Linked DNA regions of Oryza sativa Japonica Group. Each later gene encodes a partner of the first gene's protein in a complex. Links are inferred from orthologs where the notes say so. Each region holds a gene or a part of one and is shown in the gene's direction. Other genes may lie near its edges.

Region 1 (6,942 bases):
TCAGAATGAGCTGCGTGCTCGAGACATCTGGCCATGCTTCATGGTCGTAATTATCCAACTAAAATGCGACTGAATGATGGGCTGTGGGTGCATGGTTTTGCTAGTCGCACCCATGGCAATTAAGGACCGGTTCGCGGGATGCCCTGGAAGAACTTATCGTACTTACCACAAGCCAGCGTGGGCAACGGCTGGACTTGTAGTGTAGCTTTCCTCTAGCCGACGCATCCAGGCAAGGGTGGGCGTGATGGAGCGGGGCGGGCCCTGCGACGGTTTCTGTCGCTTCCGGATTCACCTAGGCACGAGAGGGGACTGCCCGTTGCCCGCTGGGGACGGGGGTGAAACCTGAGGTGTGGTGTGCTTGGCTAGAGGGGGTTATGCGAAGGGTCCTGTCATGGCCTCTTTCCGGTATGTCGTGGTGGCATGTCGGCACACGGAAACGTGTTGTGGGGCTGTCTTGTGGGTATAGTTGTACACCTCTGATCAGAGTAAAACTATTCGAATAGCCATGCCCGCGGTTATGGGCGGTCGACCAGATTCACCGTGATTAGTCCCATCTTAATAAATCGACCCAATACACTGTAGTTCAGGTGGGTTGGTTGGGCCTGTTCAACGTGGTGTAGCGTTGATCAGTGGAGATTTATTGTTACTTTAATTACTCAACAGTTTTACTGTTTTGCTTAATAAAATATTTTACAACTGCCTTTATGCAAATAGCCACAAACCCCTCCTTGTATCCCCTTGCACGTCTGCATCGTTGGTGTGGCTTGCTGAGTACGGTGGTTGTACTCAGTCTTGCTATTATTCCCCCTTTTTCAGAAGTGTAGTGCTTCTGAGCTGAAGATGGAGTTAGAGGACCAAGGCTCAGACCCCAGTTGAGTTTTGCCTGTGGAGTGGAGCTGAAGCCCCGCTAGGATCGCCTTTTTCCGCTGCTGTCGTTCTGTTTAGGTGTGAGGACTAAGTGCCTCTTCCGTAAGTATTTTACGCTTTATTTACGTTTGGAACTGTATATTACTTGTCGTTTTGTGTACCCTGGCTGGTCCTGGACAGGGATTTAATACGCAAAATAGTCTGGGAATTTGGGTTAAATTTCTGGGCGTGACAGATGCCCTCCTGTACTTCAAGAAGCCACCCCTGATTACCGAGTTCCTTACAACAATCCATCATGACCATCCAACTGGGGCTAAATACGGAGGAGTACCCTCCTCAGAAAATTAACTTAGGATTATATACACGCGCGGAGGAATACCCGTACTGAGCTGTCACCATCAGCGGCCCGCTTCGCTTCCGCAACATATAACCCCATATAATGATATCTAGTAATCTAAACACCACGCTTAAATTACCAAATACTACTATAATATCATCGTCATGATAGAGTCATCGTAAATACCCACACTATTGCATCTCCCAGATAAGCTAGCATCATAATGAATATAACTTGGGTATGTAATAAATCTGGTATTCATATACTCGGAAAGTAATACAATACCAAAGTAATATAAAGAAGAATATTCTAAATAAAGTACAAGTCTTATAAAAGAAGGAAAAGCTACTAGAGCCATACCCAAATTCTTCCGAAGACTCCGAGGACTGAAGATTCTATTCTATTTCTATTCCACTATACTCTAGAAACTATATTAAACTTGATAGATGAAATGAATTTCTTGCTTGTGGTGTGTCTTGAAATGGAGAGAGTGAGCTCCTTGTATAGCCTCCCAATGACGGTTGTGACGGTTGGAATGGTCGGAAATACCCTCCAACCGTCATTGGGAGCTAATCCATACCGTCTAGCCGCAACCCTGCATCCAACGGCGCCAGGATGGGTTCGGCCGAACCAGGGGCCGACCCATTTTCGGCTAGCGGCCTCGTCTTCTGTTGCTCACTTCAGACTTGTGAATTTTGGCCCAATTGGTCATGTCATTTTTGCATTCTTGACCTATTCATTGATAGGTCTGATTCTCGACATTGTCTGATTGAATGATCACTTGTTTTGATGTCGATTCTTCTCCACTTAGTGTTCATTCTCTGCAAGAGGTTAGTAATCCTAGTGCCAGTGGAATATTTATTATTTTGACATAAATATGCATTGCAAGCATAACTAGTTCTCTTTTATTTAAGTAGTGTTGACGGACGAAACTGATCACTAACGACCGTCAACAAATATAAATGTGTTTTAACAATATCCATATAAGTATATCGTTTATTTCGTACGAGTCTTTATATGAGTTCACTGGTTGGGACTTGATGTTTCGTGCAGAGGTTGATGATATTGCAGTCATTATATTTTGAATGTTGCATTTATCTGGAACATTTTTTTAGCGAATTGAAACAATTTTTTATAAGTGGTGAAACATCATTAATTTTTTTTATATGTGAGATCTTGTTTGTAAAGATTTGAATTACAAGAAATACAACGGTGCAATCATATTATAGATTGGATTAATAATTTAAGAGAAAAAACATTTAAAGTGTGTTAAGAAAAGCAAGATTTGTATGGAGAGATGAGAGATAGGGAATTATGGAATATTGCATGTAGCTGATATGAGGCAAGGAAGTAGTTGACATACATGCTGCATGCAACAAATATGTAGGGTGCAACACACGCAGAGATGAGGCAAGGAAATACTCCCTCCGTGGTTGCTATATTCTGAGACGGATGAAGTAGTTGACATGCATGATGCATGCAACGAATATGTAGAGAGCAGCACACGCAGGAGGTGCAGGAGGGGGGCACCCGATTTTTCTCTTGAAAATCGGGCACCCGATTCTTAGTTACTCCCTCCATTCCATAATATAAGGGATTTTGAGTTTTTATTTGCATTGTTTGACCACTCATCTTATTTAAAAAAATTGTGCAAATATAAAAAACGAAAAGTTGTGCTTAAAATACTTTGAATAATAAAGTAAGTCACACAAAAAATAAATAATAATTCCAAATTTTTTTAATAAGACGAGTGGTCAAACAGTGCAAATAAAAACTCAAAATCCCTTATATTATGGGACGGAGGGAGTACCTCCTAAAAATACCCTTAGTTTAGCCGAAAGGCTACACTCAAAACTAACCTGATGTATACTAAGAAAGTAATAAATGCTCACAATTCTTCCCAACTATAGAGTACCATTATTATTACATTTACTAAACACCATAAAAGAACAATACAACTCTTTTTTACACCAAAATTTCCCCATATTCCCCTATGGCCCCACCTGTCATCCACACAAAAGCCCACCTTTCTTCTTATGGGCCTTGGGGCCCATATAAATTAGACCCCAGTACCCCACCCCTTCGCCGTCATCTCTCTCTAACCTCACGAAACCTAACAAGAAGAAGAAGAAGAGAAATTCCGGCAAGGAAGGGAGGGAGGGAGAAGTCGTTGGTGCGGGGGAGATTGATTTCGCGGGAGGGAGGGGAGCTCGAGAGGCGGTGATTCGGGGAGTCGGCAGGGTGGCGCCGGGTGCGGCGGCGGCGGGGGCGGCCGTCGGGGGGATGGCGGCGGCGGCGGCCGAGAGGCAGCTGGTGGTGGCCGTGGAGGGGACGGCGGCGCTGGGGCCGTACTGGCCCGTCACCGTGGCGGACTACGTCGAGAAGATCGTGCGGTAATGCTGCGCCCGTGCTTTCCTCCCCCCGCCGCGCCACCCTGCTTTCTTGTTACTAGTTGACTGTACGGCCGTCGCGGATTAGTGCATCTTGGATTTCTTGATGTGGAAGAATTGGACCCTTTGTTGATTGTTTAGCTGTTTATTTTGAGACGAAGGGAGTACATGGAACGCGAAGCGGTAGCTAGTTAGTTCTTGATAGTGGAAGTTAGCAGCTATCCGTGTATGTGTTTGATATACACAGTTTTTTAGTTATATTAGTCGGATATATCGTTCACTCCAAGCATTAGTAGGAGATTTGGAGATTTGTTGTTTGCTCTCACCTTCTTAATTGCAAACATTAAATGGTACTAGTTAGCTTCAATTCTGTTTCACAATGCTTATTCAAAGAGTAAGAATGCAAGCGCATCATCGATGTGTGGAAATTCGTGGTTTCTTGATGAACTGGTTGGTTGTTGGCTATATGGTGTTGTGGCACGAGATACATCTTTTTTTGCTCCTGATTCGAGGAGACTTTGTATCACTGCATATGTGCAGATCTATGACAGAATGTAGCATAATTCATCTTCTACTTTGGGTTTTATGCCTTTTCTAGTTCCTCCTTGCTCATTCAGAAGTATTTTTCTTCAGTCTAGCATATTTTAGTGTTTTTTTTTTCATGAATGATGAATGATTCCCATGAAAACCAATTTCAGTTTTTGGCTGGTGATTTTACTACTCTTCTGTACAACCAGTAATGTAATGATGGGATGTCTGTTTGGTTATGGTTATGGCTTTTCTGAAGTCCTTGTTTTCACTCTTGTTAATTAGTTGATGTTCTGGTTTCGCATGGGTGTAATTGGAATATTCATCACATGAGTCAAATTTCTTGTGTTCAAGCCTTTCAAATAAAAAAAATAATGAAAGTGGGAGCTGTTTGTATTGTTGGTCAATAATCAGTTTGCTCTGAATTATTAGGGTTTGTTTGCAGTTGCTATCCTCCTGTGCTTATTATTTAGCTTCTGTGGAAACAGTTAAGAAAAACTTCGTAGTCTGTTTGAGAAATCAAATTAATGTTAGACGAATTCTGTTAGTCAATTTAAACTGTTATTTCTCTGACAAGTGTTCTGTTTTTAGAACTGAAATAATATCTCTATTTGCAACTTGATTAAAAGAGCAGCAGTTAGCCAAACATCAAAATTTCTATAAGCTACTGTACGGAACAGGATTATCATAGTCCACCTCAACGCAAAATCCAAATGGAGCCTTTGATGTTATGTGGTGATCCACCACAGCTTCACTCTCATATACTTACTATCATGAAACTTTTAAGCTCATCTCTTGCTAGAAATTTTTGTCAATTTCTGTAGCACTTAGTAACCTTTGCATTTTTAGTACTACTATTCATGAAGCATTTCAATTTATGCAGGAGTTTTTGTGCACATGAAATGGCAGGACAGGTAATTTGCTCTCAGTATTTATCGTCGGACTTACTACTTGATCCATGTTTCCTTGACTTGTGTCAAAACTCAAAAGTGTAAATTATTATCGTGTTATGCAGAAGCTCGCAGGGACACCCCCTGAACTTGCATTAGTCGTCTTCCATACCCATGGTCCTTATAGCGGTAAAGTTTGATATCCTCCATGCCCTAAGCTTTTTATTATGATCCATTGCAATTATTTGTATTTAGTTCTATATCAACAAAACATGTAAGCTATGATAATTCGCTTTTGATTCCTTGCAGCTTTTTGTGTGCAACGGAGTGGATGGACAAAAGATATGAATGTGTTTCTTTCATGGTTATCTGGAATATCATTTAGTGGTGGAGGCTTTAGTGAAGCTGCTATTTCTGAAGGTCTTGCTGAAGCATTGATGGTATTGACATATTGGCATCGTTCAGTTCTTTTCACTTTTTGCACATAATGACTTCCTCTGGTGTTTCCTGTACTTTTTTTTTTTGGTTCAAAATGCATAAATTAGAAACTGTGGCTTACTACTTCCAAAATTTCAGTACTGCATATGGTTGCCTACTTTTGAGTTCCCGTGCAAGGTTTTAGCATTTTGTTTGGCTTGTGCAATCATGCTTCATTTGGCATATGAAATGATGTTTCTTTTTTGCCAAATGGCACATCTTTCATGTTAACATCAACAGTAGCAACCTTTAGTTCCAGGCAAGTTGGGGTAGGCTAGAGATGAAACTGATGTGCAGCCACAAAAAAACTAAGGGAAGTATAGTACTAGTAATAACAATATAGTTAAAGAAGACGTGAATTAGGTCATGATTCTGGGCATGTGGACCGCCAATTTCCATGCAACTCTATCCAAAACCATAATTCATCTCCACAGGAACGACTGGGATTTTTATGATGGCTTACCAATGTTATCGCAACATTCTTCCTTTACTCAGCGTTAGGACCAGCTATGCTGAAGCAAAGGCAGAGTTTGGTATCTTATTAACAGAGATATTTTGATTTCCTAGATGAAGGGAAATACCTCTTTTCATCTCTCACTGCACCTGAATTTGGGTCCAGTTTTGTCTAAATTAGTTGATCTACAATTTTGTTTCTCATAGTAAGCCCTGTAAACTATTAGTTGAGCCTGGACATTATGTAGAACCATGATACTTAACAATACATGTTCTACCCAACCTTTTGGATTACTTTATTTTCCAAGAATTATAGCTTGTTGTCTTGGTATTGTTATTTCCAGTATTCTCTAGAATCTGTCCTTTAATGCCCTTCTGCACAACATATGATTCATGTGAGAAAATTCTAAGGTGGTTTGCACATCCACTTATCAGCTATTGTCTCATAAAAAATGTCTTGATCTGGATATCAGCTACAGATAGCCTTACCTTAGTAAATAGAGTGTATAACTGTAATCACCATTTCATTAGGTTAATTTTTGTAAGGAAGATTTTCATTAGATCAACCCTATTAGGAAACTGGATGTCTGGGCCAGTACCCAGAATAAGCAGAGTGAAACTAGTATGATCAGAAGTTTAAATTCTATGAATGTACCTATATTAGTATGTTAATTTTCCTATGGTACTGAGTCTTCAAAAATCAAAATTTCAGTCTTCATCCCTACTATTATAAAGAGGGAATCGTCCTCCTCCACCTCCACATAAAAGCCTCTTTCCTCCATAAAAACTGTCCACCCTAAAAAAAACTGTTTACTAATAAAGCCAACCATTGTATAAACACCGAACAGCTCACTGGGCCCAAATCCTCCCACTAAACTTAATAAAAAAAACCATTGCAATGCATGACAGCATGAGCCTATAACTAGTTGAAAAATACTTGGGTCTTTGAATTTGATATCATTTTATTTCTTGAGTTCTCTATGAATTAAAGTATTTATTG
Region 2 (6,942 bases), on another chromosome or scaffold:
TTATTATAGGGTAATACTTTCACACTTCTATCGGTAGCGATCCAAAAGATTAAAAAAAACAACTGAAAAAAAATCATAGATTAATTAAATTATTGCGGCTTACAAGCCTCAACTTAAACAAGCAGGTCGTACAGGGTTAGCTAGATAAAAAACGATAAAATGAGTTAATGTTTCATAGTTTATTAACTTGACACCCGAATTTGGTAAGACTTCCCCCTCTGGTCACCCATTTATTTATTATAAAACCATTTATTTGTATAGCTCCTATTTTAAGATATGTTGATGTATCGAAAAGCAGGTAATTGAAATCAATGATATTTTCTACATCCTAAAATAAATTCAAGCGTTCATTTCAACGATGATTATATACCATTACAACAAGATCAACAATTCAAGATCTTTCATAATTGCAAAAACTTTAAGGTCCCTCACAAAAGTGATACTAAGGGTCTGTTTAGATCCCCCGTCAAGTTTCTTTATCCTGTCACATCGAATGTTTAGACACATGTATGAAGTATTAAATATAAAAAAAACTAATTACATAGATTACGTGTAAATTGCGAGACGAATCTTTTAAGCCCAATTACTCCATGATTTGATAAATACGTGCTACAGTAAACATTTACTAATGACGGATTAATTAGGCTTAATAAATTTATCTCGCGGTTTACAGATGGATTCTGTAATTTGTTTTGTTACTCCCTCCGTCCCACAATATAAAGGATTTTGAGTTTTTGCTTACAATGTTTGACCACTCGTCTTATTCAAATTTTTTTTGCAAGTATAAAAAATAAAAAGTTATGCTTAAAATACCGTAGATAATAAAGTAAGTCACAAATAAAATAAATAATAATTTCAAAAAATTTTGAATAAGACGAGTGGTCAAACGTTGCAAGCAAAAACTCAAAATCCATTGTATTATGGGACAGAGGGAGTATTAGACTAGGTTTAATACTTCAAATATGTGTCCGTATATCCGATGTGATACTGTAAAAAAAAAATTCACCCAAGATGTAAACAAAGCCTAATGATCTTCTCCCTCCATATGGTCAATTTGATCATCACACAGACTGACTGACTGACACATGGTTGGCCCTTGAGCTTTCCAGCAGGCAGCCATGGCAACAAGTTTCAACCCCTCAACCAAATTCCCAAAGGCAGCAACAAATGGGTGGAAGATGTGTGACGCCCTGAACGGCCCAGGGAAAGAAAGAAACACATATTCCGTGGACAGCGAAACCAAGAAACACATAAAAATAAATCGAAGAAAGCAAGGAACACGTGTCACTCTCGAGTCGGGTATCCATCCGCTGAGCAGCGCAGCCAACGAGATGCGAGTGTCTGGGTTTTCTTGGAAACAACCGCATAAATCCGGGTGAAAAAACAAAAAAGAAAACAAACCGTGGACCATATATATCAACCGTTAGTGGGAGTAAAAGAAAGTACTTTAGGAAAAAAAGCGTTAGTAAACTTTTCTAAATGTGGCACGCTATAACTGAGTCAATTTTCTATAAGACATAACTATCACCTGATTAAATGAAACGGTTGATTACTTGTTAGGAATTTTACACTAATAAACATAGAGTACTCTACTCTACTAATGATAGTGTACACAGACCTAAAGATAAAAGGAAAATATAAAGTCCTTATCGGACACTAAACACACTTTTCTAAAGATAAAAAGGAAACTAACAAACTATTCCTAATTAATAGATAAACTGCCATGCCGCATCCTCTTTAAACTCGGTCACTTAGAGATAAGCTTCCTTTAGTAGATTGATTTCCTTAACCGAATATAGCAGGAATTCGACTATTGGTGACTTGATAACTCTCATCGGCTGATTCCGAGATGCTACAGCCGATAATGATTCTAAGCCGATGACGCCTTTGTCGATTATCAAATTTCACTGTTAATAGATAGCTCAGTTTTTTATAAATAGAAAGGAGTATTTGCCGCCTAAATATTTTCTTTGATGATACAGCGTATATTGCTAATCAATCTTGATCGCCATTTACTAATCCAAGATTTCGCTACTACATTAGCACCTTGTTTTGAAAAGGATGCTAAAAGTACTCCATTCTTTTTCTATTCAAAAAAGAAGAAGCTATACAGAGCATAAATATTTCTTTGATCCTACGGTGTACTACTGTGCTATACTATATCAAACCATCGATTGGCATTTACTAATCCAATACTATTTCCTCGCACCATGTTTCGAAAATGATGCCAAAAATAGTCCATTGGGCCTCAACAATTAATAGTACTCCTAAAGCACATTCTCCATTCCATAAAAAAACCACCCTATTACCGAAACGTGACACATTCTAATACCACAAATATATTTATATAGATACAATCCAAGTTTACTTTTTAAAATTTGAGTGGCCTACGGCGGCTACGGTTGCATGCACGTATTTTCTTGGTTCCATAAAAAAAATAACATAGTGTTGAACGTCTATTCAGATTTATAGTATTAAAATATATCATATTTCGTACTAATTTAGTCTTTTATAGAATTGAGAGAGTACTCTATTCATCTAAAAATGGACAATCCTTCGTAAGTTGAGTTTTTCTTTTGGGATGGAGGTGGGTACGTGCATACAACTGGTTCACATACTATAGACACTTATATATGAAACAAATAAGAGGATGATCCTATTATATAATAACAGTGATATTATGGTAGATGATGCTCACCTACCCAAGTTTGAAAACTAAACTTGAATTAAGTGGATATCAAACGGGAATCATTAGCCCAATAAACAAAAAACGAATGCTACTATTACCAACCAAACACTACAGGAAAGAGTAGTACTAGTCCCACTCCCACCAACAACAGTTGAGATCCTCTCCAGTACTGCATGTGCCGTACTGCTCACTAATATGTGGGCCCGAGGGGCTATAGGGCTCACATGTCAGGGAGCCTACTGCATGAGAGGACCTGCATCCCACCAACAACTCGACAGGGTCAAAGCCGAGAAACAGCCACGAGGCCGCCTCCCTCTCCAAAACCGTAGTGACCTCGCCCTGTGTGGCTGTGTCCCCAAACCCGGTAAAAAAAAGGGCCCCCCCGGAAAGTCCTAGACCGAGAAAAGCTGCGACCTCCGTTGCGCGAGAGAGAGAACGAGACGAACGGAAGGAGTTGGGAAAGGGAGACGCGAGATTTGTTGTTACCACTAGGAGGCCATGGTGGTGGTGGTGGTGTGCGTGCGGGGGAATTAGGAGGAGGAGTAGTTGTTGTTGTTTGGTAGAGTCGAGCTTGCGTAGTTCTCGTGGGCTCTCGTTTTTGCGTTGCGTGTGCCTCGCCATCCGCCGCGTCCCTATCCAACCCCCCTCCCCGCATTCCCTCTCCCCCTCGTCGTCGTCGTCTTCCTCCTCCTGCGGCGGCGACGGCACAGATAAGATTTGGTTAGGAGCTGTTTTGTTTGTTGGGTTGAAATCGTCAAGTAACGTGGACGTGGGGGTGAAGCAAAGGAAGGGAGGGGAGATTGGGTTTGGGTGGTGTGAGGATTGATTTGTTTTTTTTTTTTGGGGTTTTCTCTTCTTGATTGATTCGTTCTTGGCGTTGAGGAGAGGCAGCGGTGTTCGTTAGATTGATTTTTCGCTGTCTCGGGAGAATTTCGCTTTCCCGGTTGGGGGATTCCCTCGGTGGGGGGCATCTGATTCGCGATCGGGTTGGATTAGATTCTTTTGGTGCAACGTAATCTGATAAGGGGAAAAAGAAATTTCAAGATTGTGAGGAGGAGGAGGAGGAGGTGATCGAGAGAGGGCATCGATTCTTGGTGGTGCCAGGGGAGCCATCGGAGTCGTGGGGGTGGAGGTGGAGGTGGGGGGAGCCCGATCTCGGGTGGCCGCGGCGGCGATGGCCGACCGGCTGGATCGGTGGCGCGAGCTCCTCCGCGGGGCGGCCGGCTCCGCCGGAATCTGCGACGTGATCGAGAACGCCATCCTCGTCGCCGCCGCCGACGCGCCGCAGGAGCTCCTGCGCCGCCGCGACCGCATCTGCGAGATCCTCTTCACCGCGCCGCGCGCCCCGCCCTGCCACCACGGGTGCGGCAGCGCCGCCACCCCGACCCCGGCCACCCCCGTGGAGGAGGACAAGGGCAGCGTGCGCCGCGTCCCCGAGAAGCAGAGCAAGGTGGACAGCAGCAGCAACGGCGCCCTCGGCGGCGGCGGCGGCCGCCGCGACGACGTCGATGACGACTCTGACTCTGACTCCGACGACGAGCGCCTCCGCCGCGCCGCGGCGAGCAACTACGGTCACAACTACGATGATGACGACGAGGAGGAAGAGGAGGAGCAGGAGGCGGCGCCGGCTGAAGAGGACGAAGAACAAGAGCTGGACCCCGAGGCTGTGGAGCTTGAGGCACTCACCAACGAGATCGACGAGGAGTCACAGGTCGTCGGCGAGGTTCTCCGCATCAAGGACCTCTTCTTGCACAAGGAAGATCATGTATGATGAACTATTCCCAGCTTTCAGTTCTTCCATGAGTAAGAGTTGTGCCATTCCTCAACAGGGACTTAACATTTGATCTCAACTGTGGTTTTCGCAGTCGGATGCTACTTTGTTCGAATCACTGAGGAGGCTGCAGCTGATGCAATTGTCCGTTTCCACGCTGAAGGTACTGTGTTGGATAGCGCATATGAGCTATGCGGAGTGACGCATAGTGGTTCTGTTTGGTTTGCTAATCTCCGATGTTGTTTGTTGTAGGCTACTGAGATTGGGAGGGCTGTTAATGGGCTGCGGAAGCACAACTCGCAGCAAATTCGTCACCTTGTGCGCACTCTCATTGAGTAAGTTCAATATGCTTGCACTAAATTTCATTCTCTAGGGCTGATCTAGCTTTTAATTTAGAGAACTTGCTGAAGCAAATTGATACTCTACTGTACCTATAAGTTTCTGAAAACATGATACGAGTCTACTGATTTAGCTTCTGTATTCTCCAGTCTTTGTACTACTTGAGTGAATTATTTACCTTATTTGTAGTGTGGTTATTAACCAATTTTGGAAACATTGTTGACGTCTTAAAACATTTTTTTTTCAGAGGTTGGAAAATTTTGGTTGATGAGTGGGTCAGCACCACTAATGTTGCCCTTACAGGTAATAAAAGTTATTTTGTTTCATATCGCGTATGAGTCATCAATTTGTAAGTGAATGTTCACCTCTTAACATGTAATGGATCTTTTGATCTGTAGACAACTCCCCGGGCTCTTCAAAAACATCTGTTGTCGATGATGCTGATGATGAAGGGCTTCCTTCTCCACCTCTGGATGAAGGGGCGTTCTTTGCAACCCAGACTACTGCTATTCAACTCTCTGAGGTACTAATTTTTGTTTGTTCCTGGTATCTGGATTGTTTTGGTCCAGAACACAATTCTAACTTTGCATTGTTGTTTTTCTTTCTGCTTCATCTTCCTGACCTAAAGTTCTTTGATGAAATGGATGAAGATGGAAGTAAGTACAACAACTCAAATTACATAGTTTCCCTTTTTTTTCTGTGCACTATAATAATTCAAGTTATACATTTTATGACAGACTTGAGACATAACAATGATGGGAGCCTTGGAAATAAGAGAGAAAATTATGGCAGGAGGCCTACAAGCCATCCAGCTTTGACAAAGCAAGAGCCTCCCCGTAACATGGGAGCTGTTGAAAAAGTTCAATCCAGGAGGCCGGAATTGGCAAGGCAAGAGCCATCAATGAGGCAGGCTAACCCACAAACCCCTCAAAATTCAAGTTTGCAAGTCAAACAGCAGGCCATGCTTCACAAGCAATCTAAGCCCTTGAGTTCTGATTCTGGACCTGGGAGACCATTAAGGGCAGCTCCTCAGCAGAAGCCCTTTGTTGAGATGAAATCTAGACTGGCTCGAGAGCAGGTTGCTGTTGAAAGAAAACCTGCAGCGAGCCATGTGGATGTAAGTATATATGCTATTACTAAGGCCTAATAGTATGATAATCCTCAGAACATCATGACTTAAATATCTGAACTTTGGTTCTAGAAATCGAGGCTTCCTGCACAACCTTCAGCAGGAGTCAAGCTAGAGTCGGCAAAGCCAAAGATCTATGATGGTTTGGAAAGCAATAGTAGGCTGGAAGCAGCAAAGAGGAGGCTCCAGGAGCGCTACCAGGAAGCTGAAAATGGTTCGTCTTTCTTCTTTGTCAACACTCATTACCCTCCTTTTTTAACTTGTACAGCTCAAATATTGAGGGTTGCGCCTAATTTTCTTACTGCTCCTTCGACGCAGCAAAAAGGCAGCGCACCATACAAGTAATGGAGCTGGGCGACATACCAAAGCCTAAGCATCAAAATAGACAACCTATGATGAAGTCAAGGAATCACATTAGAAGTTGGGCAAATGGTCGGCGATAATTCTCCCGTGATTCTTTTTTCCCTCATCTGATGAATCATTACCATGCCTGGCTGGTCGGAGCGCATATGCATGCTGACTCGAAACACCTGAACTTAGTTGCCAGGGCTTAGAACAGAACTTTTTTGAACATATAAACACCTCCAATGGGTGGTTTCTCTTTGAAGACGCAAGAGCTGCTCCGGATGCAAATCCAATAAGTAACACCTCTTGCATCCGGAAGAGTTTAGTCATGTCTGGTTATTAGGAGATTGGGCATGTAGTTCGACCTGTACCGGCTGGTTACTTTCTTTCTTTTTCTTCAAAGGAAGCTGTAGATACCAGATAGAATAATCGTCAATATTCTCGTACATTCTATCTGCCCTCAACATTTTACATGATTCAGTGAAACACTCATGGCTCACACTAGACTTTTCCCTTGCAACAACTGTGGAACAAATACGCTTCTGGTGAACTGAGCTAAGGTCAGCAACACCTTCCAGTGATGGCAGTAGTGTACATACATCACTACATTTGCCAGACTGCCAAATTGATCAGCTGCTAGACGTTCAACATGTTGAAACGCTTCACTGT

What was found. The genes of interacting proteins can lie anywhere in the genome.
Region 2: mediator of RNA polymerase II transcription subunit 25 (region 1) and probable mediator of RNA polymerase II transcription subunit 26b share a complex: the UniProt entries of both Arabidopsis thaliana proteins name them as parts of the mediator complex. The link is inferred for Oryza sativa Japonica Group from reciprocal best matches to the Arabidopsis thaliana genes PFT1 and AT5G05140.

Annotation. Positions count from the first base shown.
Region 1 is NC_089043.1:12,242,452-12,249,393, forward strand, and holds the start of mediator of RNA polymerase II transcription subunit 25, read left to right. Parts: upstream 1-3,291; 5' UTR 3,292-3,487; coding exon 3,488-3,597; intron 3,598-5,005; coding exon 5,006-5,036; intron 5,037-5,137; coding exon 5,138-5,201; intron 5,202-5,321; coding exon 5,322-5,452; intron 5,453-6,942. UniProt on the Arabidopsis thaliana protein: Component of the Mediator complex, a coactivator involved in the regulated transcription of nearly all RNA polymerase II-dependent genes.
Region 2 is NC_089039.1:20,346,157-20,353,098, reverse strand, and holds probable mediator of RNA polymerase II transcription subunit 26b, read left to right. Parts: upstream 1-3,038; 5' UTR 3,039-3,863; coding exon 3,864-4,454; intron 4,455-4,554; coding exon 4,555-4,623; intron 4,624-4,712; coding exon 4,713-4,795; intron 4,796-5,046; coding exon 5,047-5,102; intron 5,103-5,197; coding exon 5,198-5,322; intron 5,323-5,427; coding exon 5,428-5,455; intron 5,456-5,536; coding exon 5,537-5,916; intron 5,917-6,000; coding exon 6,001-6,142; intron 6,143-6,246; coding exon 6,247-6,371; 3' UTR 6,372-6,772; downstream 6,773-6,942. UniProt on the Arabidopsis thaliana protein: Component of the Mediator complex, a coactivator involved in the regulated transcription of nearly all RNA polymerase II-dependent genes.